Oreochromis niloticus: one gene and its partner. The protein of the gene in region 1 interacts with the protein of each later gene in a pairwise test. Links are inferred from orthologs where the notes say so. Each region holds a gene or a part of one and is shown in the gene's direction. Other genes may lie near its edges.

Region 1 (16,209 bases):
TGTTTGCTTTGATTTGGTTTTATTGGAGTCTTCACAAACAATCCCCTCATCTGGCCTAAGTGTGATTTTGATTGCACAGGCTCAGTTTGGCTAATTGGTGAGTTTATTTTCATTTACCAAAATGTTGAAAAGGCAAAGAAAAAGGATTTCCTCCCATTCGTGTCCCTAAGCCATGGCAGCATTTCCTTCCTCTGTGCTGAGCTGTCAAACCAGCATGAACTCCTGAACTTTAGCGCTTTGCTCCTCACGGTCTTCATTTGTTCTCTGACATACACTGGGATACTCTAAAGGATGTGTGGGTCGCCGTCTTACCGACAGTCTGGATGAGGAATATAGAGTTTAGTAGCTGACCAGTACTGTGACTCAGTAATAATCGGGGGTGGGGTTGGGGGCAGGATTATTAACATGTAAAAAATGCACAATTATTGTGGTTTAAAAAAAAAAAAAAGAAAAGATGTTTTTGTTTTGTGTGCAGCAGGGAGGGGCTTTAGTGTTTGGATGATCACGTATGCAATGTTTTGTACTGTGTAAATAATCATTTCTAAAGATGATCGTGATGAATTTTGTGGAGGGCTTGAATGATCTTGTAAATAGCTAACTTATAGCAGAGATTTCATAATATGGGCTGAGGAAATAAATGACCTGATTTTTACTACTGTAACTGTGTGACTGAAGTGGGACTACTTCATCAGACCTGTGCAATAATCTTGCCTCACAGCAACAAGGTTACTATGGATACGACCCCTCCCACAGGCCAAAGATGTGCAGGGTTATGGACGCAAGTGGTGACACAGCCTGCAGTCTAAAGCAGGTCGGGCAGGAAAGGCGAGAGGTGTCAAGACGGAGGGGTGGAGCTGCAGTTGGATGTGTCCGGTGTTGCAGGCTGTACAGTGTGCTTCACTTTTTTCTCTGCTCTTCTTTCTGTTTAAAGAATAAGAATAATTTCTTTTTGTGAAAAAAGTAAACAGAAAAAAGATTTAGAGGAAAAAAACCCCTAAATTTCCCAACAAAATACACTAACAGACAATTGTAAATGCTCCTGTGTAAGGTCATTAAGATTAAACAGTGATGATAAACTTGGCCCATTAAACAATATTAAATTGCTTGAATTACCTGCAGAGTTTGGGGATCAAAGTAAATTCTGCATCATGACAACAGGCTCAGTGGTCTCTGATCTAAAAGGTCGCCAACATTAAATCAGTTGTAGCTGACACATACACATAGAAGGGATCATCAAAATATTCAGCTGACAAAACTGTGACACAGCAGTGCCTGTACCTGCTCACACTGTGGAGGCATGTGAACTATTTCACCAAACAGGTGTTCACTGCTTGTGTCATAGTTAACCTGTTATGTAGGTCCAAACACTGTAATGGTGCGTACCACACAGAGATGAGTGCAATAACTCTGGATGTGGGGATTTCATAGATGTGCTCCAGAAATGAGAAGACAGACTGCAGTTGGGCGGGATAAACAAGGTTGCAAACCAAATACATCTTGACCAGCTTGTCCTCTGTGCTTGTCAGCCCTTCTTCTCCAAGTGGAAGACCTATGCTATCACTTCTTGTGAGGATCACATACTGTTGGGTAGATCCACTTGCAGTGTTGGGAAGGTTACTTTTAAAATGTATTCCACTACAGAATACTGAATACATGCCCCAAAATGTATTCTGTAACGTATTCCGTTACGTTACTCAATGAGAGTAACGTATTCTGAATACTTTGGATTACTTCATATATTATCGTGCTGTTTACAACTACATGAATGTCCTATTGCTGTGATTTATTACTGTTACTGAAGGTCCGCGGCTCCGAAACGTAGTAAAGGGACCTCTGGCTAATACGTCGGGTTCGTATCGGGCTGGTAGCCGAAAACTAGCTTTACTTTGTTGTCTGGGTCAACTTTGCTTGCGGGAGACAGAGAAAGGCGTTGAAAGGCTTCTCCAACGGAACTTATTTTTTCCGGAGGAAAACACGAACACAGTGTACAGTTGAGTCTTAATAGCTTACTTACAACTGGGCTCGTCAGGCACTCTTCTTGGCTGCAGTGGTTATTATTATATTTACATGCTTCCAGCTCCCGTTTTTGCTCCGTGACAGCTCGGACTTTTCCTTTCTCTCCCTCCCTCGCTCACAGACACATAACGGGTATGGCAGTCCATTCTCCCTGCAGCACGGACTACACTGCCCATGAGGCTACATGCTTTAGAGCTATGCCTGTAGCATTCTGCCTTTTAGCTTAGCACAACAACAACAACAAAAAAGCGCTCTCTCACCCAGGAAACACGCAGAGAGAGAGCGCGTCACCCTGTAACCATGGCAACCGTAACGCTGCCGCCTGGAACAACAGAACGTAGCTGTCAAACAAACCCAAACAGTCTGACCCGCGACAATATGAAACAGGAAAGTACCGCCGTGTATTCCATTTATTTCAACAAAGTAACTGTATTCTGAATACCACCTTTTTAAACGGTAACTGTAACGGAATACAGTTACTCATATTTTGTATTCTGAATACGTAACGGCGGTACATGTATTCCGTTACTCCCCAACACTGTCCACTTGGGTGTCCGAGGGAAACTGTAGCTTGGGGGCGTCTTTGATTCAGGATTTTCAATCAAAGAAGAGATGCATGTTACAGTCTGTAACACAAACACCATAATCCAAAATCAGGAAGATGAATAAAATGATGCAACAATGATGAAACAACAACAACTTACCTTCACTGGTAAGGTTTCATTTAATAGGCATCAGATGAGTTGGATATACCTCATGCTTCAGTAATCCTGTGCAACTCATTTTGCAGCTCAAATAGCATCACATGACTGAACAAAAGAGATTCAATTCAATTTTATTTATACAGTGCCAAATCACAACAACAGTCACCTCAAGGCGCTTTATATTGTAAGGTAGTCCCTACAATCATATGACCCCCTATGAGCAAGCACTTTGGCAACAGTGGGAATGAAAAACTCCGGCAGAACCAGGCTCAGGGAGGGGCGGGGCCATCTGCTGCGACCGGTTGGGACGAGAGAAGGAAGACATTAATAACAAGTGTGATTCAGTGCAGAGAGGTCTATTCTACACAGATTCTACATCCTTAAACCACACTGACCTTTTTTCACTCACTATGCGTCTATACACAACTCTGCATTTATGCATTAGTTATTAATAATCTCCTGCACTCTTCCACAGCATGTCTTTGTCCGCTTTTCCTCCAGTAACTCCCAACCAGTCGTGGCAGATGACCATCCCTCTCTGAGTCTGCTTGTGTTGAAGGTTTCTTCCTGATAAAAGGGAGTTTTTCCTTCCCATTGTCCCAAAACAGCTGCTGGGGTTTTCTCCATTTTGCCAGATTTGTCTGGTGACACCACATAGCTAAACGATCTTTATATGAAGTATTTAAAACCTTGAGAAGCACACACACCATGGTATTGTGAGTCAGTCACGGCGTGTTCTGCAGTACCCCTCCATGAACATTGTGCTGATAATATTCACTTTTACTCATAAGAATTTCTTACAGTTTGACACATATTTACATTTTCACATAACTAATTGACAAATAATCATCATAAAATCATAAAAAGGAAATCCATTATTTTTTCAGTGTAATGTAAATTCGTGGTAGGCAGTATCAGTGATGGAAATAACGGCGTTACAAATAACGGCGTTACTTTTTTCAGTAATGAGTAACCTACTATTCCTACCGTTACAACGCCGTTACCGTTACTAACAAGAAAATGCGGAGCGGTCGCGTTAGTATTTTCCAACAAACAGACGGTTGAAGCTGTGTTTAGCTTACTGCATCTTATATCAGCTGCACGGAAGTAGCTGTAAGTAATCTGGGCGCTACAGCGGACGGCAATCACTTTCTGCCTGACGATCACTTTTTGGCACAACACCTGCTGTTTGACTGAGGAAGAATAAAGTAGTCGTGGTAAGCCAATCACATGACCACTTCAAGATGACAAAGCAACAAGGTGATATATACCAGTTTTTAAATTGTGTTGATAGGCCACGTAAAACCAGAGTCATGATAAACACTATGTACGCGGCGTTTTTTCATGAATAGTTTCGTCACATTTAACGTCTAAGCACAGCGCTAGCAAGCACTCTCTGCTTATGACCAAAAAACAAGAAACAAAACAAAACAAAATCAGCCTGTTCATGTTGGCAGAAAAATGCACAATGTCGACCAATCAAAAATGATATGGCAACATGACATTTTGTTGTTTAAGAAGAGGGGGAAGTTTTAGGAGTGATGGCGAGGGAGAGAGAGAGAGCGAGTTTTGAGATGTGAGAGATTTGTGACGTTTAGCGTGTTTGGAGTGTGTAGTTAATGTGTTGTCTTGTGTAGTTAGTGTGTAGTGTTGTGGATAGTTGTGTTGTGTGTCAGAACAATGAGGCGACTGCTGTCTCCGGGTAGAAACAGGAGTGACACACCTGCTGCTGTCAGACCTGCAGGTATCAGGCTGTGATGTTCTCCTTTATAGTGGACAGAAATGATTTTTTTGGAGTGGCACAAATAATTTGTGTGGCATCTTATTGAAGAACAGCTGATTGTTCTGTAAATAGTTTGAAATTGTTATTTAAAAAGGGTAAAATGTCAATGAATCATATTTCATAACTTTAAATGCAAATATAAATTGTTGTTTGCAAAACATGTGCATATGATTTTAAAATTGACAATTTATATTTGCATTTAAAGTTATGAAATATGATTCAATAAACATGTATGTGGTTGTTACAGTAAAAATTATAACTTTTTCTACTCATTTTTTTGTCTGATTTTAGATGTCTGTGAAGGTTCTCAGTCATCCAGGTCATCGTAGTCTAAGGAGATTGGAAAGAAAAGCGTCTGGACTTCTTTGAGTTGCTTGAAGACATTGTCATCCCCTATGTAGCCGGTGTATCAGAGAAACTCAGGAGAGTTTTCTCCAAGCACGACATCCCAGTGTACTTCAGACCCAGCAACACACTCAGACAGAAACTGGTTCACCCGAAAGACAAAACTCCTAAACACAAACTTAACAATGTGGTGTATGCTGTACAGTGCAGTGAGGAATGCCCAGACCTCTACATCGGAGAGACCAAACAGCCACTTCACAAGCGCATGGCACAACATAGAAGAGCCACCTCCACAGGACAAGACTCAGCAGTTCATCTGCATCTAAAGGTCAAAGGTCACTCTTTCGAGGATGCCAATGTTCACATTTTGGACAGAGAGGACAGATGGTTTGAAAGAGGAGTGAAAGAAGCCATCTATGTCCACTGTGAGCGACCATCTTTGAACAGAGGTGGTGGTTTACGACACCAACTGTCTGCCATCTATAATCCAGTTTTGAGTTCCCTTCCCAGACGCCTTAACGCCCACTCACATCCTGGGCCATCTGACCTCAGGAAATCACATGATAGGGTGGGGCCAGGTTTCACAATGAGCTCACCCGAAACCCTGGCTGATTAGGACCCACACCCGCTTTCACACCTTGGCTCATGTGATTAGGTAGAGGATCATCAGGGGGTCCTTTGTCCCTCTTTGGGGGGGAAACTCCCACTGGGTTTAAATCTGGGACTCCCCACCAATTGACCTTAGAACTGAAGAAGCTTCTCGGATGAGAGGTGAAACGTCTTCAAGCAACTCAAAGAAGTCCAGACGCTTTTCTTTCCAAGCTCCTTAGACTCTGATTTTGGATCAATTGTGTTAATACAGTATGTCAAAACATGACTAAATTCAGACACTTGAGGTTGTGCTGAAAAGGATGATACCAAACAAGGCAAAGTAAATAGTTTTTAAAGGTGAAATGTAGACGGAAAATCAAAAGTAGTTAAAAATGGCCAATTATACCCTGGACCCCACAGGGTTAAACATTTTTTTTAAAGTAACACAATAGTTACTTTTCAAGTAATTAATTACTTTTAGAATCTTGTAACTCAGTTACTAACTCAGTTACTTTTTTGAAGAAGTAACTAGTAACTATAATTAATTACTTTTTCAAAGTAACTTGCCCAACACGGCAGTATATCGTTAGATGTAATGAAAAGAAACGAAAACCCAAGCATCGAGCTCGTCCTCAGGTTCTCTTGTAGTACCTCTACTCGTCCGCTGGGTCGCAGTAATGAGGAAGCGGCAGAGGCAACGAAGAAGATTAGTTATGGCGGTTCAGGTTGAGCTGGGTTATTTGGAGACTTTCCCGTCTCACCTCAGTCCTCTGGATGTTTTGATGTTAAAACCACACTTGGACCGTGTCTTCCTAAATGACACTGATCCGCCGACCGTCCTCTTCACGCCTGAGGGGCCTCAGGGCTCCGGCAGGACGGGCATTTTGCTGCGTGTTCACCAAACTACCGAGGAAGAGACGGCCGACGGAGTGACCTGTCCTACAGCCAACACCGAGTCAGCGCCACGGGTTCGGCTCTTTACCAGCCGGCTTTTCCTGCGGCACCACGGGCTCCAGCAGTTCAGAGGTACCGGAACCGTCCGAGCTATGGAGCCCGTCAGCCTGGACAGAGTCGTAGTTGGAGCCCGCAGCAGGCAGAGCCTCCGCCTGGCTGGATCGGAGCAGTTCAGCGACAGGTTGCTGGAACTCTGCCGCCCGGGACATTGGCTGCTGGCTCGGCAAGGAGACCCGCTGCTGCTCCCCCGACATACAATCCTGGGAGAAGACCCAGGACAGGTGATGTTCAGAGCCAGATTGTCCCCACACTGATTTAGAATCCCACTGTGAAGAAATGCTGTAAACATCGTTTCTGTTTTCAACTGATAATGTTTGTTTTAACTAGCAACAAATGTTTATGATACTTCCACAGTGCAGGTTAGCCTACGTGTTTTACTTATATTTGACTCATGTAGTGATGCTTGTTGCTTTAGATTCACACGTCATATTAGTAAGACGAGGATGGAAAAGGCCCTTTATTTACTTACACTTGTAAATGTTAGAATTATGGTGAAATCATTCTGAGGCCATCTCGCCCGCCCTTTAATATTTTAAACACAATGCTCTCATTTGGATCTTTGATAGTCTGATGTTTATGTGGCAGCTGAAGACAAAGAGCAGGACTGATTGAGTACTTAAACGCATGTTATTTGTTTTGTTCAAAGCTCTAAATTTAGCGATTCACTGATTCTAATAATCGCAGTGAATCATTTTTCACTGAGCAGCTTCTTGTTACAGCTCCAAAATAGAGATATGATAGAGAAGATGTGAGAATACAGACTGATTTGCTTCTGTTTTCTGTTCATGGTGCAGCATCAGCTGTTGGAGCTGCTGGTGCTGGAGTGCAGTCCTGTAAGACAGGGGAGGATCACAGCTGATACGTCTCTGGTTCTGACAGATTGCTGGGATTCAGTCACCCCCCCACCCTGCAGGCCGCTCAGACTCTGTGTGTCAGACTTTGCTCATTACGTTGATGGCCTTTGTGCTGGCCCATGTCTGCTTGATAACAGGAGCGTGCTGGATTCTGGGTTCCCAGGTGTCCCGTGTCCACTGCTATGCAGAGTGGAAGTTCGGGTAATGGACACCCAGCGATGGCTCGAGCTCAAAGAACAACACGGGGTAGCCGTGGATCTGGACAGTTGTGTGTTTGTGACCAAACAGCTGCTTCTCAGACTGGGGCTTTTCAACCAGGAGTGGGTAAGACTGTCGAAGCTCGGCGAATCCAGAGGACCCATAGGAGAGGGCGATGTCACGGGGGCCATCTGCAGGGAGAGGCTGGTCTCTGTGGTGGTGATGGATCTGCCACCAAGTCCAGAACTACAGAGCCATGACAACCTGGGCCTCATCTCACCTACTCTGTGGTTCAACATGACTGAAGGAGAAGTGATCCCTGTGAACAGCTTTATGCTCAGGATGAAGGTGCTTTAACACACTCTGCAAACACTTCAATAAACAAGCAACTGTAAACAGATAACAGATTAGCTAGCCATCTGCACAGTGGGTTTTTTGCATTGTGGGTGGACTGCACCTGGTGGCAGTCGTCCTTGTTCTGCTCCGTAGCCTCGATGAGCAAACCAGTTGAATGTAGAGTAGCTCACCAGCTCACAGCGAGTCTTCAGAGCAGAAGAAATGTCACCAGCTGCAGCCAAGGAGTGCATTGCTGTGAGGAGGCAGTTAAATTATGTCAGGAACCACAACACCTAACCAGTAAGCCCATCCAAGACTGAGAGAGCCAGGCTGAACTTTCAGAGTAAGTGCATGGTAACTCCCAGTCTATCAGTTTTATTCTTGGTTGCCCCGTCGTAACACGTCTGTGCCCACGGGCCCGTTGTTCTCTAGTTGGTCCGCACTTAAAAAAAAGAAGTAGGTAAGAGTATGAACCAGTCAGGGTTTGCTTGCTATCATTAACCTTTTGCTCATCCTTACCAGACATGGGCCACAAACAGTATGTTCAACTTGGAAACATGTGTTTGGAAAACTATAAGCACAGCCACCAGCTGGATCCAGCAGAGTCGGATAAATAAATTACTGCACAGCTGTGAGCAAGTCTGTTTCCTCAGATACATTCGAATATCAGGTTTTTAAATTCAAAGCACACTGCACCTCTGACAGGAGAGTTGTGTGTTTTCAGACCCAGACGTTCCAAACTAAGAAGAAACACAGCGTGTCTTTATATCTGTTTAACCAACAGCACGAATGTTTTCAGCGCTCAGCGGGCGCTCACAGAGGAATCAGCTGTCTGATAGACTGCATTAGTGCCAATGTTCACCAGTCGTCTGACCTTTGAAGGTCGCTCTTTTCGTATAGGTCTGATTGTCTGATAATCCATTAATCTGGAAGAGTTTATTATATTCCAGGATTCCAAATTCATTCAAATATAGTGTCGGTGTAATAGCTGGCACCAGCAGGCATTTTATATTTGTTGAAGACTCATTTTTAATCAGTTGAACTGTTTTGATCCTTCCTTCTTCTTAAAGTTATTCAGGGTTGTACACTTCACACCATAAATATCCTGAATTTGAACCCAGGACCTTCTTGCTGTGAAGCCAAAAAAAAAAAGTTTCATCCCATCAGCAAATCGTCAGTGTTTGGTTTTTTATTTTTGTTTCTGTCTCTCGTCTGGTCTCAGAGATGGGACCCCCCTCCTCCACAGCCCGGTGGTTGCCGCTCTGACACGTTCTGCCGCTTGGCTTCTCCACCGTATGCCAGCGAGCTCCACATCCAGCCGGTCACCTCTCCACTCTACAACAACCTGGGCTGCTATGACAACCTGCTGGCTCAACATTTCTGCACTCCCAGGTTGACTGATGCATCCAAACAGTGTCCTTAACATGTAGAAAGAAAGCAGCACTGTTTTACTCCAGCAGTTTGTCCGGGCTCGTTTCAGGCTGGTGTCACCAGGAGACGTTCTGACTGTTCCAGCTGGAAACCATCCAGACCTGCTCGAGACCCACTCTGAGGGGATCCACAGGTGCCGCTTACTACTGGTTAATAACACAAGTCTTTATGCTCATTACCTAAATCAGATCAGTGTTTCTTAGGAGCACCTTTTTTTGTTAAAGATCAAAGCTTTTGAAAAAATAATTCAAACATTTTAATAAATAAAATGATCAGACGAGGTTTCTCCGAGAATACTGTTAAATGTCAGAACAACATTGGTGGGTGGGTTCATTTACATTTGGAGAGAAGCAAATTGAGTCTAATAGATCAAAAACCACTTTGAGGCTTTAAGTTTCTAAATTAATGTTAAAATCATCCACAATAACCATTTTGTCTGAGCTGAGCTCTAAACAATAGGCAGAAAAATCCTGAGAAATCAGATGAATTCAAATGAATTCTGAATTCTCGTCGAAACAGGCTGAGGAGGAGGAGTGGCTGCAATCTCCCACTACAGCTTATTAAGCAACCAAAGACCCAGACAGTTAATGTGACTCCATGGTGTGGATTCATTTAGGCCATCATAATCATCAGATTTCTGTAAGAGTAAATCAACAAAGCTCAGACGAGAGAAAACTAATGTTTAACTGTTTTATTCTTTGGTGCAGTGGAGGATGCTGTGTGTTATTTGGAGGGCACCAGAGACGGCTGCAGTTAGAAACTGTTTACTGACCTCAGACTGACGTAGCTAATGCACTGCATCACTCTGTCTGTGACTGTTCAGTGAAAAGTGTGTTTCCTCTGAACGTCTTCAGGTGTCCGGTGCTGTTCTTCAGGGTGCAGAAGGTGTGCTCATCTGCAGGAAGAGAAGAAGGAGGAGGAGCTTACTTGGCCAGCAGACAGCACACCTCGCTCTATTTGGTGAACAGTGACAGCTAACCTCAGTCATTCTTCTTTATTTCATTTCCTCTGTGTGCTCCAAACATGCGGTGTGTTATTGGATCCAGAGACTTTGATTTTGGTCTCATCTGACCAGACCAGTGTTTCACAGGCTTGTCTAAATGTTCTTCAGCTAACTTTAAACACTCTTCAACACGCTTTTTCCTTCAGCTATGTGTGATGAACGTGCATACAAGTCATGGTTGAGTGGATTACTTGTGTTTTCTTTGAAACTATTGCACCTGCAGGTCCTTAGTCTTTCTGTGGCTCTCCACATGTCAGCCCCTCGGCCCCTTGGACAACTCTCAGTAATTCTTTTCACTCTGTCTGAAATCCCGAGGGCAGCAGCTGGCCATGGCCAGTTTATGGGGAGCTGATCAGGGGCGGATCTAGAAGGGTGGCATGGGGTGGCAAGTGCATACAAACAGTGAATATAAATGCTAAAACTGAATATATTGCATAGTGTCCCCCCCCCTCCACCATTAACAAATGGTTCAGCCCATAGCAGGACCGGCTTTTTTCTTGTTTTCAGTAGCAAGCGATGCTTATGATTGTGCCAGAGCACATTTTGAACAACACCATGGGAATTTCTGATTTTACACAGGTGGTTGGATGTTACACTCTGGAAATGGAAGGAAGGTGAGTGTTATTAACCCTCTGTGGTCCACGGACACGCTGCACCTCCAAATCACATGACTGATGTAAGCTGACACAGCAACAAGCTGCAGCCACGCTGAGTCTCTATTTCAGCCCACACTGAAAGTTCGGACTTCAAAGTTTTTACATTTTAATTACAGGCCAGTAAATCCAGAGTTATGATAATATATATAAGCCACGCTTTTTTCTAAATACTGTCGTCACGTTTTTGTGTGTGTGTGTTTTAAGTGTTTTCTAAGGACAGCGCGAAAACAGTAAAGAAAGAAAAAAAGCCACCTCTTTGCTATCGGTGGAAAAATGCACCATGTCGACCAATTAAAAAAAAAAAAGTCAACACGTGAGATTTGGTTGTTTAGGAAGAGGGGAGAGTTTTGGGAGTGACGGTAACGGCAGCGAGACAGAGCGAGTGAGAGAGTTTTTAGATGTTCTGGTCTCCAGCAGTGCTCACTTCAGAAATTCTTCTGTAAGCGATGCCATCAGTATGTTTGCAACAAAAAGGCTGTGAAGGTCTTGAGAGAGCTCAGTGGTCTGACCATCATTTCTTGTGTGACGCCTTTTTATAGGCCATCAGTTGGGACTGAACCAGCTGATATCTGCACTGAGTGTTGCTTTCTGATTACTGATCGGGTTCAGCTGGTGCCTGTTTGCAGCTCCCTTTCTTCATGTGTTCAGTACTGTCTCCCCGTGCCATTTCATCATTTATGGACATTTGTATGGACATTTATGGACAGCAGCACTTTTACACATCCGTTTAGTTGGTAATGTGTTCAATACTTATTTTGGATATGGCTGCCAGTGAAACTGGGTTACTGATGTTCATGAATGATTGTGGGATTACTGGTCCAAGTAGCATTTATGGGTGGCTGTAGCTCAGGAGGTAGAACAGGTTGCCTACTAATCGGAAAGTTGGTGGTTCAGTCCCTGGCAAGAACCCCAAGTTGCTCTCCGATGCATCCATTGGAGTGTGAATGTAGTTAGAAAGCACTCAGTTTAGAGACAGTGCTTGTGTGAATGGCTGTGATTGGGTGAATGTGGCGTGTTGTATAGAGCGCTTTGAGTACTCCGGGAGAGTAGAAAAGCACTATATAAGAATCAGTCTGTTTACCATTCATTTTGAAGTGTACAGGGTTGGACTGTCTGCTCAGATGCAGCTGAATGCTGTGAAACTGATTGGTGAATACTTCAGTGTAACACATCCTGTAAAAGCTACTAGAGTTTTTCCAGATATGGTTTAGTGGCCATGTCAGCCAACTGATCTCAATGCTTTAGTTAAACCGTTGAATAAACCCATTTTTAGAGTCAGTGGGTTCGAGTCCGACCCGCTTCCCTCTCTGTGTCCCTGCCTTCATGTCTGTCTTCACTCTATCTGTCCAATAAAGGCTCTTTTCCCAAAGTGTCAGACAGCAGCTTAGCTGTGTCTGAGGATGCTAGCTCAGGGGAGCCCTGACTCACAATAGATGCACTGATGAAACGTGAGTTGTGTGTATTTTGTTATAAAATGTGCCGAAAGTCTTTTTTCTTTTTTCGCTTGATAATTTTTCTACATCTTTGTGTTTTTTCTTTATTTGATCTCCATTTCCATCTTCAGTGTTTTGTTGTCATGTTTCCTGTCTTTGTAGTTTTTCTTTCCTTCTCAGTTTTATTATTATTTTTGTCCCTCGTTCATGTGTGTGTGTCTTTCATGTCCTCTGTGCCTGCACTTCTTATATTCTGCCTTATTTGCCTTAGCTCGGGGATAACAGGGTTGCAGGCACTGTTGATTTATCACAGCAAGTAAATGAGACTGTTTGTTTGCAGGGATCTTACTCACGGTGCAGTCTTTTCTAAATCTAAGCTGTTGTTAGTCAGCGTTGTTGCTCTGACAGCTTCCCCCCATCTCCTCAGGGAACATCTATAAACAGCCCCGTCCCATGTTCTCTCCTGGAGGGAGCAGCTCTGTCTCCTCCAGGCCTTAACAAGACTGTGGAGCTCCTCATCGACACCATCCTGCCTCACCTGCAGCACAGGTAACCGACCTGTCTGCTCAGATTTACAACAGCAGGCAGTGAAAAATACAACTCAATAGGACCTGAGCTTGAAGTTCACATAAACAAACCTAGTTCAGTAACAGAGGGATGCATGATGGCACACTGCTGATGTTGGCTGCATGTCTGCTCTCAGCAGCTCTCTGTCTGGTTGCACTGTCCTCCTTCACGGTGCTGCAGGAAGTGGAAAGATGGCAGCAGTGAGGGCAGCAAGTGGCAGACTAAACCTCCACCTGCTGAAGGTACAACAGCCGTGCTCAAGTTTTAGAATCATAAGATAATTAGACATCAGCACATTCTTCTTAATTCCTCTCTGCAGGAGAATATTTTGTCTTTAAATAAAAGGCAGCGTATTGTTTGGCTGCTGTTGTATCTCGTTTGCAGGTAGACTGTGTGAGCCTGTGCGCTGACAGTCCTGCAGCCTCTGAGGTAAAGCTGGCGTCAGTGTTTCAGAGGGCCGAGGCCCTGCAGCCCTGCGTTCTGCTACTCAGGAACCTGCAGCTCGTCCTCAGATCACGAGGGGCTGCCGAGAGCGATTGCAGGGTCCAGGCAAAGCTCTGCCAGCTGCTCAGCTGTGCCCCCACCAGGTCAGTGACTGCCTCTAACCCTCATTCAAATACACTGGTCCAGCTTATCAAGTAGGTGATCATGTTGATGAAATGAGCTTTCCTTTTATTACATCCCCTACCTGTAAACCATGCACCACTACAGGAGCGCAGAGTTTGACTAGGTGCCACACCAACAGCTGCACTTTCACTCGGCTCTACTTCAGAGCATGCAGCAGAGACGTGCACAAGTGTTTTTAGTCAAACCGGAAGTCTCCTGTGTGAGCCATGGCTCAGAATATAATGAAATGTATCTGTGGTTATCTTTCAGTGTGGTGATGGTGGCAACTGTCTGCAAACTTCGAGATTTGCCTGCAGGCATCATGGCAGCGTTTGTCCATCAGGTAGCAATAGAGAGTCCAACTGAAGAGCAGCGGCGTGCCATGCTTTCCAGCCTGAGCAGAGACCTGCACTTAGGGAAGGATGTCAACTTGGAGAACCTCTCCAGACTCACCACAGTGCGTAATGACATCGACTCTACTTCACACCACCACTGGGGCAGAATGATTATCGTTAAAGCTCAGCCGTTCAGGTGAAAACATGTTAGGCAGCTGTGTTGGTCCAAATTAGAGACCTTTGTAAAGCTACTCTGGGGAAGGTTTCAGGTTGTTTCTAACCATGAAAGCCTAAAAGCTTCTTCTAGCTGCTCCTGTGTTCAGGAGTTGCCACAGCTGGTTGGATCCACATGTTGGATTTGGATTTCGATGCTGGTTGCCCTTCCTGAGTGTGGTTCCTGTTTCAGTCCACATGTTCTTCCTCTGCTCCACAGGGTTTTGTGTTGGGGGATCTCAGTGCTTTGCTGGTTGAGGCTGGTAGAGCTGCCTACAGGAGGCTGATCCACAGCTGGTGAGAATAACTACATCTTACAGGACAAGATTACCTTCTAGTCCAGATCAAATGTGTCATACTTCATCACCTGTAGTTTATAACCCAGTCTCTGAAACATGTTGGTTTTGATGGTTGTGGTCCTGGAAACAGCGAGGCGGCGGCGTATTTAAACGCTGTGGCTCGGTGCTCTCAGCTTCTTGGGTTTTGTGTCTGAAGCTCTAATTCAGTATGGAAGGGTTGAATGCTCCCCTCTCATCTCTCGACTGAACGTCCTTCTGCCTCCTGGAAAAAGGTGTAGACCGGGGTGGGGGACTCCAGGCCTCGAGGGCCGCAGGTTTTAGATCTCACCCTGGGTCAACACACCTGAATCAGATGATTAGTTCATTGCCAGGCCTCTGGAGAACTTCAAGACATGCTGAGGACACCGGCTCTTGAGGCCTGGAGTTCCCCACCCCTGGTGTAGAACCCTCAGATGGAGAGACAGCTTCTTCTCCACAGCACCATGTCTACCTCACCCCTGCATACCTCATGCTTAAAGAACTGAGGACACTTGACAACAGTTAGTACAGTGCTACTTTGTAAATTGTTTGCCTCTTACGTATCCTGTTGTCTGTGTCTTAAATACTGCTGTTCTACTCTGAGAGTTACCGCCCAATGAATAATGAATACTTAATCGTGACAGAATGAAGAATGGTGTCTCGCTGAACAGCCTGTAGTTCAGTCTTTATTGTTGTTTGTGCAGTGGTGCTCAGCAGCAGGAGGATCTGTGCTCTAGCGGAGTGACCATCCTGAACCAGGACTTCACCTCTGCTCTGGAGATCCTGCAGGACACCCTGTCCAAGGCCATCGGGGCCCCGAAGGTGACCAAAGACTAAAAGAACGTTATATTTCCATTTTTTATTGTTTTTGCTAGCGCCCCTAATAAGGCCACACACACAAATTTGTTGTGCATGACTGGTTGTCTGTGGCAGACTGTGGTGGAGTCGACTAAAGCAGAAGAATAACCTTTACTCAGTTTTTAGAAATTCAAATCCATGTTTGGAAAAATGAACTGACACAACAGGCAGTGATCTTTGTTTGTGTAAACATAATATTCTTTATTTACAAAAAAAAGTGAATATAACAGTAAAGACTTCTGTGTGTCATCAGGTTGTCTGTTTACAGTGAGAATAGAGAGTTGTGTTTAAGTCATTCCTGTTGTATAGATACACTGAGGAGGTGTGTGTGTGTCACACAGGTGCAGCTTAATAAATTGGAAAGAAGCTGCTGTTTCTTGTTTCATCACGTTGTTGTCCTTTGTGTCCCGTGTTGTGAGTAGATACCTAATGTGCACTGGGAGGATGTCGGCGGTCTCCAGCATGTGAAGAAGGAGATCCTAGACACGGTTCAGCTTCCTTTGCAGTGTCCTGAGCTCTTGTCTCTGGACCTGAACCGGACTGGAATCCTGCTGTGTGGACCACCAGGGACAGGAAAGACTCTGCTGGCCAAAGCTGTGGCTACTGAGTGCTCCATGACTTTCCTCAGGTAGATTTAGTTCCACTTCATAAGAACGAAACAGGAAGAAAGGTGTCACGCTGAAAAGAATCAGCATTTGTTTGCTGAGATTTGCTGCTAATGGCCAAGTGTTCACTGACACCTTTACTTCTGTTTTTTAGTGTCAAAGGTCCAGAGCTCATCAACATGTACGTGGGTCAGAGTGAAGAAAACATCAGAGAAGGTCTTTCTTAGTCTATACATTCAACCGTATTTGCTTTGGTAATATTGTCAGGTTTAAGCTGGGGCGATCGTGGCTCAAGAGTTGGGAGTTCGCCTTGTAATCGGAAGGTTACCGGTTCGAGCCCCGGC
Region 2 (16,209 bases), on another chromosome or scaffold:
GTGTTTAAAACATGGGACTCATGTTCACCCATCTTTCCACCAGCATGCACATATTTATATTTTTTTGTATATATAGGTATACATATACATATATATACAAAAAACTTGAATTTTACTATATTTATTTATTGGATAAAATAAGTTAAATGTCACCGCTATTATAACAGCGGGGGTGTCCAAATTCAGAGGCTGCATCCACCTGAGGACCCGGCCTTCGCGGTCTAAGTGCCCGGGTCCTCTGAAAGCTGGGTAGACCGGAGATGAGCGACTGCGATGGTCTAGCCTTCAGAATTACGTCACAAGCTCTCTCGGTGCAGTGAAACTCTGCCGTCTGCTCCTTGCTATCTAAAATATAACAGGACACTGGCATAAATTCTTGACCGTCTCACACTTCTGTTTAATCAGTTTTCTGTTTGACGTTTATTCAGCTGTGTGAAAACCCCGGAGGAACCCTCCCGAGGGATTAATAAAGTTTTATTTAATTAAATCTAATCTAATAACTTTAATCTCAGCCAAACCCATTTACTCACGAACAAATAAAACACTGAAAAAGGCCAAACAATAACATGTTTAAGTTATCTAAGTGTCTTATATATCATGTTTAACCTGAGTAGCAAAAGACCGCGGGGGTTTGAAAACGATGTGCCGGGAGCTCGTTGTTCTCGCCGGCTCAGATATTTGAAGTTTACACAGCTACATTCTCGCCTGAAAATATGTTAAAAGTTTATTTTGTGACCCAGAAAGAGTAATAAGAGTAATATTAAAACTAAGTAGCTGCAGTAGTAGTAGCCATTGTTGGAAACTGGAATTGGCTGGGCCATGCTGGGATATGGTTTTTCAATTTTGTTTCCGGGTGGAAAATCGGGAGAAATTCGGGAGAATGGTGGCTCCGGGAGATTTTCGGGAGGGGCACTGAAATTCGGGATTCTCCTGAAAAAATTGGGGGTGGGGGTGGGGGGGGTTGGCATGTATGCCAATCCATGACTGATAGTGTTTGGTTGTGTGCATTGTGATTTATCCAGGTATCCTGGTATTTCAGATACTGTTCATCTGCTGTAGATAGTTGTTTAGATCTGCCACTTCTTTTCTTTTGCCCTCCACTTTTCCAGTTTCCTCAAATTTTTTAAGGACACGCTGCATACCATACTATCAAGATATTCTGTGTTTTTAGCTAACAGCTCTTTGGGAATCACCTTTTTGGTACAAAGATACTATTCAAGTCTGTCAGACTGTCTTATCTTTGAAATTTTTCATAAATTCATTAAAGAAATGGAGACAAATTATGTGTTTTTGTGACAAATGTGTTTTTAGGCAAAGTCACAATTTAAAACTGGTTCTTTACCAAGTTGTCTTTTACGTGTAGACACCTAATTGGTGAGTTAGGTGCCTTTTTTATCCTTGGACAATTCACAGGTCAGTAGTAACATAATTCTGCAGAATTTTTTGGGTTTGTGGATGTGGAAAAGCAGAAAGAAAATAGGTCCTATGTGAAAATGTTTACAGCAGACTTTGAGGCTATTAGTTTTTTTTTTTTAACAAAAAAGGCAAATACCATGTGGTGCAAAATGCTGTAAAAAGAGAGACATCTTCACAGCTGATATCTCCAAAACTCAGCAACTAACCTAATTCAGTCTCTGGAAAGGGTTCCTTTCTGATTATCCTCACCTGTGACGCTTAACTACAAATTATCTAACTCCACTTATGAGTCAAAGGTAGCAGAAGAGCATCATCACACCACGATGAAGGCCACAACACTGAAAAGTTAGCACGTTTGATAACCTGCTCCTGAAATTTTAAACAAGTGCTACTTATTTACCTTTGAGTACTCAACGTCTCTCAGTACTTTGTGACTTCACTCCTTTGCCTGTTGCACACAGTCCCAGTGCTTCTCACCGAGGACATGAATGTCTAAAAGACAGCGACATGCAGACATTTGCACCCGCAGGATGGAAATTGTCATTGAAGCCCATTAAATGTTGTTTTTCATCCCTTTTTAAGAAGCTAAGATAAGTAAGTTGGCCTTATGTTAGATTTTATACAGATGCCGGACATTATGGAACAAAGACATGGCTTTTTAAAGGAGCCCAAATTAAAATATAAAGGAATAAATAAAATAACAGCCTAAATCAGCACCTGGAGACATTTAAAGATGGGTGATGAACAGAAAGAGTTGGTTCCAGAAGTAAATTTAAGATTACAGCATATTTTTCCCAAATTATCCCTTTGTCCATCTCAAAATTCAGATGTTTAGCTCTAAATATAATACTGGCATGCTACTGGGACTCATCTCAGCTCACCTCCAGGATTTGAAATCGGTGACTTTGAGCATTGCTGTTTTCAGGAGGAACCAGAATACGAGGAGCCCCCGGCCTTGCCACCACGATCGGACGATTTTGAGGAACCGGGCGCCCCTCCTCTGCCTGAAAGGTCAATAGAAGTGGATGATGATGGTGGAGAGTATGAAGACATCGGTCATCCCCCTCCTCCTCCTCCTCAGCGTAAAGGTGTGCCTCTAAGCAAAGCCGTGAGTTAATCAGGACCCCTTTCGTGGCTACTGATCATTAATCTCGCATATTTTATCTCCCAGCTGACGATAACGACTATGAAGACCTGACATGTGGCCAGAAGGCAATTGCAATTTATGACTATCAGGGAGGTAAGACTCTCCATTTTCTATGTTTCATGATAAATGTGACCTTGTGCACATATAAATGTCACACCTACACATTCAGTACTCATTGTGGAATAGCTGATCTGGGCTACTTTGGTTTGCCTTGTTTACACACTGAAAGGGGATCGTGAGCACAGGTGTTCCTTTGGCCTTTGACGCGGTGACACAAGTGCTTAAATGTGAGGATAAATCCTTTGCTTTTCTTTTTTCACACAGAGGCCGATGACGAGATCTCCTTCAATCCAGACGACATAATCCACAACATAGAGATGATTGATGAGGGCTGGTGGAAGGGACAGTGTCACGGACGTACCGGTCTGTTCCCGGCTGCTTACGTTCAGCTGATCGAGTGAGCAACACGCTCCCAAAGTCTATTTTTGCACAAGCTTCACTTAAACAAACTTCAATATTGTTGAACAGAGGGAGGAATTTGTATTTAACAATCAAATCAGAGCAAATTTTTTAAATCAGTTGATTTGTGTAATATTTCGCTTTGAATGTGCCGACTGGAAAAGCATCAGGCCAATCCTGATCAGAAGCAAACATGTACACCTCTGCAAGGAACTGAGGGTATATGACCTTATTCTTCATTTCTTTCACTGGATTTTTATTTACCAATGTAATCACAGTCATGACCTGAAATGGCTCTGCTATTCTAATAAAATCCTCCTGGCAACCTGTGTTTTGTCTTTCCTCTGATGCGGTTACACTGACCTAAAAACACTGTTTTGTGGAGCACCAGCTGATCATTTTAGCCATCGCCATCTTGGTGTTTGGACACAGTGATAAGTGAGGTGATAATTAATCCTTAAACATGTAACGACTCTGCAGCGGGCTATGCATGATTTCTTGCGCACTTAAACGTTGCATGTTCATCAGTATAACACCATGTTTATGTTAGTATTACAAAAAAAGGGAGGCATTATGAAGTGTGGGAAGGAAAATCCTTAATATGTATTCTACTGTGAAACAGTAGCTTCAAAGCTATGCAGGCCAAGTCATCTTCTCTATGCACAGCCACAAACCATAATGGCTGGAGAACATGCGTTTCATTATTCTACCCATGTTTACAAAATTAAATTATAAGAAGCCAACATTGATAATAAAACATTTTGTCTAACCCTAAACAGTAAAAGTAGAAAACCCTCGCAAAAAGATTAGGCCAGTATCACGTTAACTATGGCCAAGCACCGGCATTAAACAGGTTACTTTATTGTGCAGCGGTTTAGGCAGTTACCTGACAGGTGAAACAGAGCTATAACTGGGGAGACACAGGTCTGGCCTTTTATGATATACCTCCATAGCAGCCACTGCTGCACAGATATAGCAAAAATAAATCACCAGATGATAGACATAGCCTATGATGCACATTTTAAGAAATGTTAACGTTTTCCTTTTCAATATATTGTACGAGCCGGACCTTCTTGTAATTTTTTTAAAAGTGCTTGACTTCGGCTGCTTTTTTTTAAACTCATTTTCAGCCCAGTCATTGTACCCGACCATTTCAGAGGAATATTTGTTTGATTGTTGAAACGCTTAACACTGACCTATGAATCATTCAAGCGTAAAACCCCCCCCCACCTAACTCAAGATATGTGTATACACATAACAGACAACTTAGCAATGAACTAATTTTAAGTTGTGTTTACTAGTCTGTCACCAAAAACATCATTTATTGTCATTTCTTTAGTTGAATGTATGAAAAACACCAAAGATAACACAGTGTGAGGGGCTTGAAATAGGAGTTTTGCACCAACGAGGTGATTGTCGGCATATCTTGGCATGTTGTGCATGCAGTGTGTCCATAAAAAGAGGAAACCGGACAAGTACACGATAAAAGCGGCACCATCACATCTGCATCCACCATGCACTTTTGCACTGTTCTGTAATTGTAAAGAATGTGCATAATGAATTAAAGTTATGACAAACAACAATTGAAATTATAAATCATATTAAAATACTAATAATTCTGTTTTTTTGACACACCTCCAGGAGTTGCATGATGTCAAGAAAATGAACAGAACAAATCATAGGACAGATTTTTTTATGGGAGTTTAGAGACTTAACTTGCGGCAGAGAATACACGTGCACCACTCACATTTCTGCAGTCAGACGCACTACACACACGTTTTCCGTGCGCTGATCTCAAGTCAGAGAGGGTTTTGCTGTTCCATGAGAACAAACCAGTTTCTGCAGTGAACTTTTGTACGATCTCAGGCTCTGTGGCAAAGCCCGGGAATCTTCAAATCCACCAGACACAATGAAATTTAATTAAGAAACACAACACTTATCACAAAAGGATGCTGTGTTTCAGCTTCCAGAGTCTTATAGCTAAAATGACGGTCTTCCCGTTTGGTGGTTTACCAGGCAACATTCTTCTTCTTCTTGCCCTTGCCACCTTTCTTTCCCAATCGTTTGCCCCTCATTTTCTTGGCCTGCCGCTGGCTCATCCACGCCGGATACTGTCCATGTTCATCCAGAAGAGTTTTCTTGTTGCGCTTGCTGTCCATGTCCATCTTCCCATCTGAAACACAGACACACAGCAGTGAGGACGGCTTCAACATGCTCACAAGCGGTTTCCTCATGTTTGCAAACGATACATGTGGCACAGAAAAATGTGTGACATCACCTCGAAATTTAAAAAAACAAAAAACCCCCCCAAAAAATCAAAACAACAACTATTAAGGCTGCTGACTGTGGTGCTCACTGTCTTACCATCAGGTTCTGCCTCCTCCATGTTAACGTCGGCCTGCTTCTTTATCTTCTCAGCTGGCACCACTGTGGCGATCTCCTGCATGTCAGTCATGACGACTTCTCCTTTCTTATCAAGGGTCAGAGCTTGTTTCAGACGATTCAGCTCCTTTGGAGCGTTCTTCTTCCTCTTCTCTGCCCGCATCTTTCGCTTCCATTTACTCCGAAGGCTTTTTGCCATTTTAAAGATGCTGCGAACACATTAACAAATCACCAGTCAAGCAAACTTGGGTTCACGAATTTTTAGGACTTTCACATGTATCCATACACCACGCAACAGTAAAAACAAGCGGTGAAGACAAATGGATGGTCTGAGGCGACATGTCTCGCCAATGACTGCCGATTTCTTCCACACTACCTGAGCTGAAGCCCAGGATTCAGGAGGATGTTTGGATTTTAATTAATCTATGATTTACTTTCAGGAACGTCAAGACGATGTATATCATTTAAATATGACACCTATTTGTGTAGGTAGAATGAAAAAAATCCATTTATAACGTTTTTTTAGTAATACTACTAACAAAACAAAAAAACAATGAAAATAAACTGTGCAACATCTTTACAAACTAACTAATAAAGTTAAATAAACCTGGGAGAGAAGTCTAAATAAAACTGATCACGCATTCAGACTGTCTTCTTCTACACCTCTATAAACATTGAGCTGGTCTCTAGTACCCAACACTGATATTAAAAATATTAAAAAAATCCCAGCAGATCAGCATCTTCTTAAACACTCAGACCAACAACTATGCCGCATTCAAACTCACCTACATCACCTTTCTTTCACATTTCACTAAATCCACCGAGTTGCTGCCGCGTGACTGGCTGAATCGTAAACAGATGTACCTTACAAAGTGGCCGACGCGTGCAGTACTACAATTTCCCTTCCATGATTAATAACGTAAACCTAAGGACTTTATAGGCAAGTTAGGATTAGCGAATCCACTGAGCTGTTAAACCTCAACAAAACGGGAATGAGCAGCTTCGGTAATAAACTTTAACGTTTGGTCTGTTGAACATTTACAGCACTAACATCATCAACATCATCATCATCATCATCATCCACCCCCCTCCAAAAAGAAATGGTAAAATGCTGTTAATTCCGTTTAGTTACACGATACTGGCCGTCACAATAAGCCTAGCAAGTTAGCTACCCAACTCCTAATGAGGCACCAGTCTTAAAAACACATAAAAATAGCCTCGTTCCCTCATTAAACTCATACAGGTGTAATCATTAATCCACTATATGACATACAAGTCTGACTTACTTCCCACAGAAGCAGCAGATGAGCTTCTTGACGCTTAAACTGTGTGAACAACACACTCTTCTACTCCGCACACGTGTTTAGAAGCTTGGGGAAAAAATGAATCACGTGCTTTGGAAAGAGCTGCAATATGATTGGCTGCCTCGGACATTCTGAAGACTGTGGCTTCTGATTGGACAGTGGACTAATACCAGGAAGCTAAACGGAAGGTAAACAAACCGTTGTGGAAAATTTCGTGCTTAGCTGCAAGCTAAAGTGCTTTAAACCCTTTGAGTGTTTGTTGGGTTTGTTTTAAGTTCATCCGGGAGTCATGAACAGCTTCCAGGCCGCCAGCCCTCCGCTCTCTGCTGCTGTGACCCAGATGTTCAACACGCTGGAGTCGGCTGCAGAACAAATGATGGTGCACAGAGACTTCCAAGCGGCTTTTGACACATGTCTCAGAGGTCTGGAGAGTCTCGATGGCCTGGAGCCCGAGGACAGCAGGTGAGGGTCCTGAAGCTTCACGCACATGTGTAACTGGAAGCTTGGATGTTTGTGTTATAACACAAACGTCTTTAATGTTCCTGCAGATGTGCAGAGCTCAAGGCTGGTTTCTGCATCTTAGGGATTCAGGCTCTGGCTGAGCTCAATCAGTGGCGTGATGTCCTCTGCTGGGTCCTGCAACAGTATGAGCAGGAGAAAATACCAGCGAAGATCATGCAGATGTGGTGAGGAAAGAGTTTCATTATCATTATCATTATTATTATTATTATTGTTGTTGTTATTGTTATTAGACACTGATCTATTGATCCCCAGCCTTTGGGCAGGTGGACACAATATGAAATAAAGTATAAAATACAAATCGTATTAGGGTTCAAATATGCAAATTCTCCAAGACATGTTTTTTCAATCAGCACATTTAATCCGCCATTAACTTAATCATGAATTAAAAATGAAAATAAAATTTAATTATTTGTTATGAGTGCTGTTATAATCAAACCTTATATTAATGACTTCAGCCTTTTTTGATAAAGAAATGTTTTTGTAGTAAATAAAAGACATCTGTTATCACAATTATTTAGGCTTAAATTAATAAATGTGTAAAATGACAGAGCAAGTTCCACTAGCTCATTGCCCAGACTGTCCCATAAATATAAAACTAGAAGTTTTGACTTGATGAGCCATATTTTTTTTTAATTATTTTTTTTACCTAGTGAGGTCACATTTGTGAAAGCCCACACTGTTGTACAAAGTGTAAGAAAAAGTGAACTTTTATTTATTACTCAATTGCTTTGATGAGGTCTGAATGGCTATGGAAGAGGTCTTTATCTGTAGGAAAAACTGTGAAGTCCAAAATGTATACCCTCCAAAGCTCTGCAGCAGGCAAAATTGGAGACTGTAATCCCAAATCTACTATGTCAGTGGGTAGGTCCAGTGAAAAATGGTTGGCTTTTTTAAATATTTGGACAACGACTGGAAATGGGTGATAAACTCAAAAAAAATCCTACATAAAAGTGACCTTTTCTAGTAACGAAACAGACATTTATCACACCCTGATATCCATAAATTTGGAGCCAAGGTTCCCAGATACTGTGCCAATACTTAGAAACTCTTTCCTATTTTAACCTCTGACTTCTGGGACTGATGATGACATGTGTGGTGCCTTCAGAATTAAAGACTGAAGGACAAGAGTGCAGGACAGCCAAAATAATTTATTTCTGCTAAAGGGGGTGATGTGTTTGTTTGTGTTTTACAAAGAATTGAGAGATATACATGATCACACAGTGGATTTTAAGTCAGACGATCAAGATATGACTCACATGTAGACTTTAAGCTTTAACATAAGGGGTTAAGAAAAGTATTGCATTAACTATTTAGGATTTTTTTTTCTTTAAAAAATTCAATAAAATTCTTACTAATGTGATTTTGTGTCTCATTTTGGCAGTATACTTCTTTACTCCAAGGTGGGTGAGCCTGCTGTAATGCAGGAGGTGACCAGAGCCTGGTTACACTACCCGTCCAACAGCAGGGCGACTAGCTTCAGGACCGTCGCAGAGCTGTACCTGCTGCATGTCCTTGTGCCGCTGAGAGAGGCAGACGAGGCTCGGGAGCTGATCAGAGGCGAGGTTTTTAGCAGCGCCTTCACAGAAGAACACAGACAGACAGCGCTGGATATCATAGAAGAAAAAGAGCGACAAAATCAAGACCCTCCTCTAAATCCCAGGATGAGTGGAAGCTCTGACGTCACTGAACATCCTGTCTCATCCCAAGGTCTGACACTTCAGCCTAAACCCTTATGAGATGCATTACGCCAAGCGGCCTAAAAAAGACTGAAACTGTTAACTGTTTGTGATTTTGCTTTTGTTCTGCAGGTACTTTAGTCCATAAACTTGAGGCTGTGATCAGGTTTTTATACCGAAAACTCCTGATGATTGGTTCTGGCTCATTCCCTTTCCGGAGAATCTTTCTGACTGCCATCCTCCTCTACATGCTCTTTTTTCGGATGGATCCAGGTTGGGTGAAATGTTCCTTAGTTCTACTGGTACATCATCATCTTTTAGAAGTTAAAATAAAAGTGACTGTAAATGCGTTTCTGTTGTGCTTTTTTTACCTGCAGCTCTCCCGTCTGCGTTCATGTGGATTTCGAAACTTCTGCAGCTGCTCAAACAGATGTGGAACGCCATGTTTGCACCCTATTATCAGGCAGTCACTCAGAGCAAAGGACTGTAGAGGACTGAATATGCTAGGTCTATCATTTTAAATGAATTCTCTAAGGACTGTTTGTAAGACAACATGGATGATATTCACGTCAGATCTATAAAACATTTAAAGCGTCCTCATTCCAGGAAAATAGCTTCTTTTTTTTTAAGCTGCAGACTCTTCAGCTCACATGACACAGCTTCCCATAAATTCTCCCCAGCTCCTCACTAATACATCCTTTGTTTGTCCATCTCAAAGCAACACATGAATCATCAAGAGTCTGATGTGTGTTTTTTTTTTTTTTCTTTTCCTTTTTTAAGTCTGGGAAGTGACTCACTGTTCTGGTTCAGAGTACCTAGAATGATGAGTAGGGGTAAGAAAACAGTTGCAATCAGTGTATCACTGTAGGAATCTGAAATTTGTTAAATGATTATAACAATAGTTATAATAGTCAGTTTAAGTTTTGTGTACTGCAATGTGCTGAGGTCCTGTGGCTGCAAAACAAGCCTAAACCATGACCCCTCTGCCACTGTGCATGACATGAGGTGTTTGTCCTGATATGCTGTGTCTGGTTGTCAACAAACATGGTGCTCTGCATTACAGCCAAACATTGCCACTTTGGTCTCGTCTCTCCAAAGGACATTTTTAGAAGTGTTGCACTTGACATGCTAACTGAGGCCGGTAGAGTCTTGGATGTATTTGTTTGCACGTCCAAGATCAAGCACTGGGTCTGGAATTTGCTGGGACGTTTACTCCTGAGAAGATTGGCGACTGCTTTGAATGTTTTCCAGTTGTGAATAATTGTTCTCACTGCAAAATGATGGACTTCAGATTGTTTGGAAATGACCCTATAACCTTTTCCAGATCGATGGGAAGCCGCAGTTACTTTTTTAACTCTTTCCTCCACAATTACGACATTTGACAACAACGTTAATAGGTGTGAAAGATGGACAGAGATGAAGTTTTTCCTCCTTGGCGCTGTGTTAACACATCGGAATGCTCCAGTCCAGCAAACTGCCGAAACCTCAGCTTTTATAGAAGTGGTCATGATCAATTAATCAAGTGCATTTGATTTTCAACATGTTACCCTCTTAATTCAAATGGAAGCTGTCAGATTGTACTTAGTTTTTCACAGGATTGGATCTTAAGAAAATGCACTTACAATGTAAAAGTGAAGATATTTGTTCTGCATTTAAGTGTCCCTGTGACTGTTCTTATGTATTATTTTATTGATAATTCTCATAAATGAACCTTAAATTTTTAAAGGGTAATCAATTTGGAATTATAATTTTGAATTCTATGTGTGGATGTGACCGTGTGTTTGATAGGACAGAATCCAGTCACCTTATTTTTTTTTTTTAAAATGGATGGATGGGTAGTTAAGTAACTGGTTACCTAACATGCTGTCAGGCCTTTCCAAAAGTATCATCAGTAAAAATTTAAAGAGGGAAAAACAAACTTTTTTATAATCTTATATTCCTGTTGTGGAAATTTGAAATTAATTTATGTGAAGATCTATTAAATTTAATCTTATGCAGCACTGTTAAGCAGTTTTAAATTTAAATGTTTAAATTGTTTTCTGAAAGCTTACAAGTAGCGAAAAAAGTAGAATAAAAGTGTGCAGGTAAACGTACATGTCCCTCAAGTTTAGAAAAGGTGGTGCTGCAGTAAATCAGAATATATTATCTGTAATTCATAAAGTTCTGCATGCATGTAAAAAAAAATTAGGGGTCTTTTTTTTTTTAAGTGAAAGTCACATTAGTTTAATCGCATTTTTAAAGTGGGGCTGGGGTCACTCATTGCCCCCCTCTTTGGACACGCCCCTGGGTACAGGTGAGAAGTATTATTATTAAGTTGCACACAGTGGAAATACTTGAGTATTCGAGTACAGAGTACTGCCTGTGACTGTGGAGATGATCTGGACCCATGTGTCACCAATGCTGTGTAGCTAATAAGCGCCGACGTGATCGCCGGCGTCATAGTTCCAGCCGGTTTGCGCATGACAGTTTGTGAGTTTCGTTTCCAGCAAAGCGAAGAGAAAGCTGTAAAATGAAACTGTTGCTGGGAACTGTTTCTGTGGCGCTGATGTTTACAGTGGGGTGAAGTACAACAAACGCTCGACCCTCTGTTGGTTTAGTGACCGTCCTGAGAGCCTGAAGAAGAGCAGAAGGCTGCACTGATGTCTGCTGGGATCTGCTATTGCTTTTCTAGACTTACTCTGGTGAATCACTTATTTGGTAAGCGGAACATTCTCAACCCGATGGTGATGCTTTTATATTATTTCCTGTTTACTTGAGAACTATAAATACTAGTTTAAAGGTCCTACTTCAGCGAAATGCACGAGATGCTTGTTAAATAAGATTAAAGCTCCTCAACGAGTCGTAGATGCACTCGTTATTAATGTCACAGTAAATAAAAACGGAACAATTTTGAAGTCAAGTTTTATTCACAGATAGGAGAAATTCTTTTAGTCAGTTAACTTTCTAAAGCTGTAGTGCTTTCTCGGTCATGAACAGTCATGAACAATGTAGTGCACAGTGTGCTAAAAATGCTCTCACAGCCACTTTATTAGGTACACCTTGGTGGCGCTGGAAACTCCTCACGTGACAGCATCGCACATTTGCTCCAAATCTGTTGGCTTTGCATCCATGATGGGAATCTCTGTTCCACCACATCCCAAAGGTGCTCTACTGGATTGAGATCTGGTGACCGTGGAGGCCATTTGAGTACAGTGAACTCATCGTCACGTTCAAGAAACCAGTTTGAGATGATTTGAGCTTTGCGACATGGTGCGTTAACCTGCTGGAGGCAGGTATCAGAAGATGGGTACACTGTTGTCATTAAGAAATGGACATGGTCAGCAACAACACTCAGGTAGGCTGTGGTGTTTAGGGCCAAAAAGGCCCAAGACAATACCCCCCATATCACTCCCTCTCCACCAGCAGCCTTAACTGTTGATACAAGGCAGGCAGGATAAAGCCATGCTTTCATGCAGCAGAAATCAAGATTCATCTGACTAGAAAACGTTTTTCCAGTTATGTATTGTCCAATGTTGGTGAAGCGTGTGAAGTATAGCCTCAGTTTCATGTTGGTTACCTAATTTTAGTCAATATTTGAGTTGCTGTTTCTACTCTTCTAATCAGCTTGAAGCAGTCTGGTCATTCTCTTATGACCTCTGACATCAAACTTTACAGACCATTCTCTGTAAACTCTAGGGATGGCCGCGTGGGAAAATCCCAGTATATCAGCAGTTTCTGAAACACACTAACAACCATGCCATGTTAAAAGTCACTAAAATCACCTTTGTTTCCCACTCTGTAACTCCGTTTCAACTTCAGCAGGTCGACTCGACCACGTCTACATGTCTAAATGCTCTGAGCTGCCAACATGTGATTGGCTGATCAGATATATGAGTTAACATGCAGTTGAAAAGGTGTACCTAATAAAGTGTCTGGTGACTGTATAATCTAATTATTTACTGGCTGATCTGTTTAAAGTATGCTAATAATCATTAACTGTGAAATATGACTTTAAAACTAGTTTTTGGACTAAAAACCGTAATCAATGTTTTTATTACATGTTGCTCCAATAACACGAGATTAAAGGACTAGAAATTCAAAAACATTCACAAAAGATCTTTATTGTGTGATTATGAATATGATCAGACAGCTATCTGATCATATTCATGTTCATATTTACTCATATTTATCATACTGGGTTGTTAAAGAGGTGGTAATGTTGTTTAACAAACCTTTAAAGGATCTCTGCACCTCAAAGGAACTCTTTAAACCTCATAAATTTCAGTGACACAGAAACCAAAATACTGACCGTGAGTCTGTGTGAAATGAAGTCAACTTGCTATACATCTGCTCAACACGGGGCCTAAAACGAATAAACCGAACAAGCCTCACGCTCAGTGATCTTTAAAACCATGATTTGCTATTTTAATAGAATATATATCAAAAATGTGGGGTTCTCCACAGCTGACTGTGCTTTTCCATTTTTATTTATTTTTACACATGCACACACCCGCTGGTGCTCTGGTGGGTTGATTCACGGTGTCACAGGCTGTTATTTAACCCCTGTTACTCTTACAGGGATGAGAGGCCTCTCCAATTATTGTCTATCATGCTGTGTGAACAGCTTGCTGCAGACTTTCTCTGTTACCTGGGAAATAGCAGAACTGCTAGAAAGGTAATCACATGAATTACTACAGCCGCTTTCATCTTGACTCAGTGATGTTGTAGCGCCACTTATTGTGGAAATCCTAAGGCTGTTTACAATATTAACAAGCTTTTATGAATTTTAAAAGGTGGGATGTAGCTGGTGCGAAAGGAGATGCTCATAATGTCGCGCTGCATCTAAAGAGAGTTCTTGAGGCCATGCGGGGTGACCTTCCTCAGCCCGCTCCACATCGTGACTTCCTCCACTGTCTGGACCAAAACAACTTTCGACGTAAGAGCCACGCTTTTGCAGAGAAAATATCTCCTGTCGATGTGTCTTATTTTATACCTTCTAATGATGCTTTACAGTTAATGTGCAGCATGACGCAGATGAGGTGTTCCTCTCGATTCTCAACTTCATTCACCAGCAGATGGACAACAAAGTTCTGGTTGGACTGCGATCAAACTACTCTAATATTATTCATTTCTGCACGTGTTATCTACAACAGTGTTTGTTTGCATTTGCCCTCTCTGAAAGGCTGGGGAAATTCAGGATCTGTACAAGATTTCAGTGGAGACGAACCTGCAGTGTTTAAAGTGCAACTCCATCCAAACCGAAACCAGCTACATGCTCAGCCTGCCGCTTTATGTAAAGGAGGATGACAACTCTCTGGTGGGTCTTCTTCTTCTTTTGTTTAAGAATACTAAAACTGTTGGGAAACACACTATCTCTGTTTGCTATTTTTTTCCCTTTTATTGGAGGCCGTATCTTAAAATCCCGAGTTTTTACAGCTTATTGAAGCCAAAGATTTTAGCCAATCCTGATCCAATCATATGGGTGTAGTAAAATACAGCATTTTAATATGTAATACTTCCAACTGGGGAGTACATGGGGGGGGTTATAAATACACAAAACACAAGTGTAAAAAGGGAGAAAACGCACAAGTTTATTAGGATTACAAAAATCAGAGTCACCAGCAAATAGTCCAGCAGAACCACTCATAAAAGATCAAATGAATGACATATGACTTGTTAGGTTACAAACCTTAGCTGTATTGCATTGTCACTGTTTATTTTAGTCACTATTTATTTTGTTACATTTGTCATATTTTCAGGAAGGCTGCATGAACTCCTTCTTCGAGCATCAGGAGCTCAGGGGCATAAACTCCTGCTTCTGTGCACACTGTGGAACTAAGAACCCATCCAGACAGGTGAGACTCAGGTTTAAACCCTCCTCAAACACATTGAAAAGGCTCTGATGAAATCAATTACAAGATGTGTGAATGCGTCATTAATCTGTATTCTATTATGTCAGCTCAAACAATCATTGTGAAATCTACTTGCTTGTTGTATAACAAATCTGTGTGTATCTGTTTTTCTTCATTGCTTCAATCTCATAAAAATATCTTTGAGGAAAAAAAACATATTTAAAGGGCTGAGTGGATGAGAGTGGGTGGGTGAAACGTATTTGCCAGCATGAACATGAACTCAAATTCACTCATTTGTTTTGTTCAGGGTGTCAAACTCCTCTCACTGCCTCGTATCTTGTGCATGAACCTGAAGCGATTTCGGAACAGCCGCGGTTCCACCCGCAAACTTGACTGCAGGGTTTCTTTCCCAGAAACCTTTGATTTCTCCCAGAGTCTCCAACATGTGTTCTCCGGAAACTTTGCACAGGTTCGTCCGAATTCTTTTTTACGTGAATATTGCATCTTTTACTTGTGAATACTCTGATTATTTATTTGTTTTTCTTCCAGAATGAGTGCAGGTACACCTTGTACGCAGTGGTCGTGCACTGTGGTTATGCAATGTTTGGGCACTATACTGCTTACGTCCGCCACAGGGAGAACAAGTGCTGGTACTATGCAGATGATAGCCACGTACAGCAGGTACATCAGATCTAAAAAATAATTACAAATAATCACAGTATACAGTTAGATGTGAAAGTATCTGCAGATATCAAAGGGAGAGAGGGATGTAACTTTTTCCCTCTGTGCTTCTTCTTGAATTGCAAATTTCTGATGAATCTTCTGTCTGATTCTTATTCAAATCCACAGACTACCTGGGAAGAAGTGCAGAGAACATATGGAGGAAGACAGAGGTAAAATGCCCAGTTTCTGATTGTACAGGGGGTCATGAAGTCCTCTCAGACGTTTTACACTCATGAACTTGAAGCTGTCTACGGCAGCTGGAAATGGCTCATCAAAGCTTAATGAGGATACATTTTAACCTAGTCAGTTAGTCTGATTCTGGTTTGAATATCTGGAGCAAGGAGGTAGTAACACTTTGAAAACATTAGATTTTTGTGTCATACTGTTCCCAGCTACTTAGTACATAAATAATAGACTGTACATAAATGATGGGCACTGAAGTGCCTTAAATCTGCTCTATTTTGACTCTCCTGGTTGCAAAAAGACTTTAGAAACGCTTTCCTGGAGACATTAGTGCTACTTTCTACTTTACTGAATAAAACAGACTGTTGGTTTTTAAGTTATGGTCACAGTGAAGGCCTGCTTTATTTTAACAGGCTGTTGCCATATGACTGTGTGGTTTCCCTCAGTTTCTCAGTCAGATCCACCCTCGAAATGCCAAGATGACGATGGCGACTGCTGAACAAACATCCCAGTAGCTTCTTTCAACTTTGTATATACGGCACAGACGTGAGAGTGATATCAAAAGT

The links.
Region 2: the proteins of pex6 (region 1) and pex26 come close enough for resonance energy transfer, tested with the Homo sapiens proteins (2 studies listed by BioGRID). The link is inferred for Oreochromis niloticus from reciprocal best matches to the Homo sapiens genes PEX6 and PEX26.

Annotation. Positions count from the first base shown.
Region 1 is NC_031971.2:3,733,005-3,749,213, reverse strand, and holds the start of pex6 (peroxisome assembly factor 2), read left to right. Parts: upstream 1-6,116; coding exon 6,117-6,674; intron 6,675-7,247; coding exon 7,248-7,853; intron 7,854-9,063; coding exon 9,064-9,233; intron 9,234-9,321; coding exon 9,322-9,405; intron 9,406-10,126; coding exon 10,127-10,232; intron 10,233-12,791; coding exon 12,792-12,913; intron 12,914-13,067; coding exon 13,068-13,173; intron 13,174-13,315; coding exon 13,316-13,518; intron 13,519-13,807; coding exon 13,808-13,994; intron 13,995-14,305; coding exon 14,306-14,382; intron 14,383-15,106; coding exon 15,107-15,224; intron 15,225-15,682; coding exon 15,683-15,888; intron 15,889-16,019; coding exon 16,020-16,081; intron 16,082-16,209. UniProt on the Homo sapiens protein: Component of the PEX1-PEX6 AAA ATPase complex, a protein dislocase complex that mediates the ATP-dependent extraction of the PEX5 receptor from peroxisomal membranes, an essential step for PEX5 recycling.
Region 2 is NC_031981.2:14,333,769-14,349,977, reverse strand, and holds pex26 (peroxisome assembly protein 26), read left to right. Parts: upstream 1-6,829; 5' UTR 6,830-6,896; exon of another isoform or gene 6,897-6,983; 5' UTR 6,984-6,997; coding exon 6,998-7,170; intron 7,171-7,256; coding exon 7,257-7,394; intron 7,395-8,611; coding exon 8,612-8,937; intron 8,938-9,038; coding exon 9,039-9,179; intron 9,180-9,283; coding exon 9,284-9,396; 3' UTR 9,397-10,628; downstream 10,629-16,209. Other genes in the region: hcls1 (src substrate protein p85-like), read left to right, coding at 2,342-2,504, 2,588-2,656, 2,888-3,024; llph (protein LLP homolog), read right to left, coding at 5,032-5,195, 5,387-5,603; usp18 (ubl carboxyl-terminal hydrolase 18), read left to right, coding at 11,546-11,603, 13,464-13,560, 13,679-13,821, 13,899-13,978, 14,068-14,202, 14,645-14,740, 15,045-15,206, 15,287-15,418 and 1 more. UniProt on the Homo sapiens protein: Peroxisomal docking factor that anchors PEX1 and PEX6 to peroxisome membranes. PEX26 is therefore required for the formation of the PEX1-PEX6 AAA ATPase complex, a complex that mediates the extraction of the PEX5 receptor from peroxisomal membrane.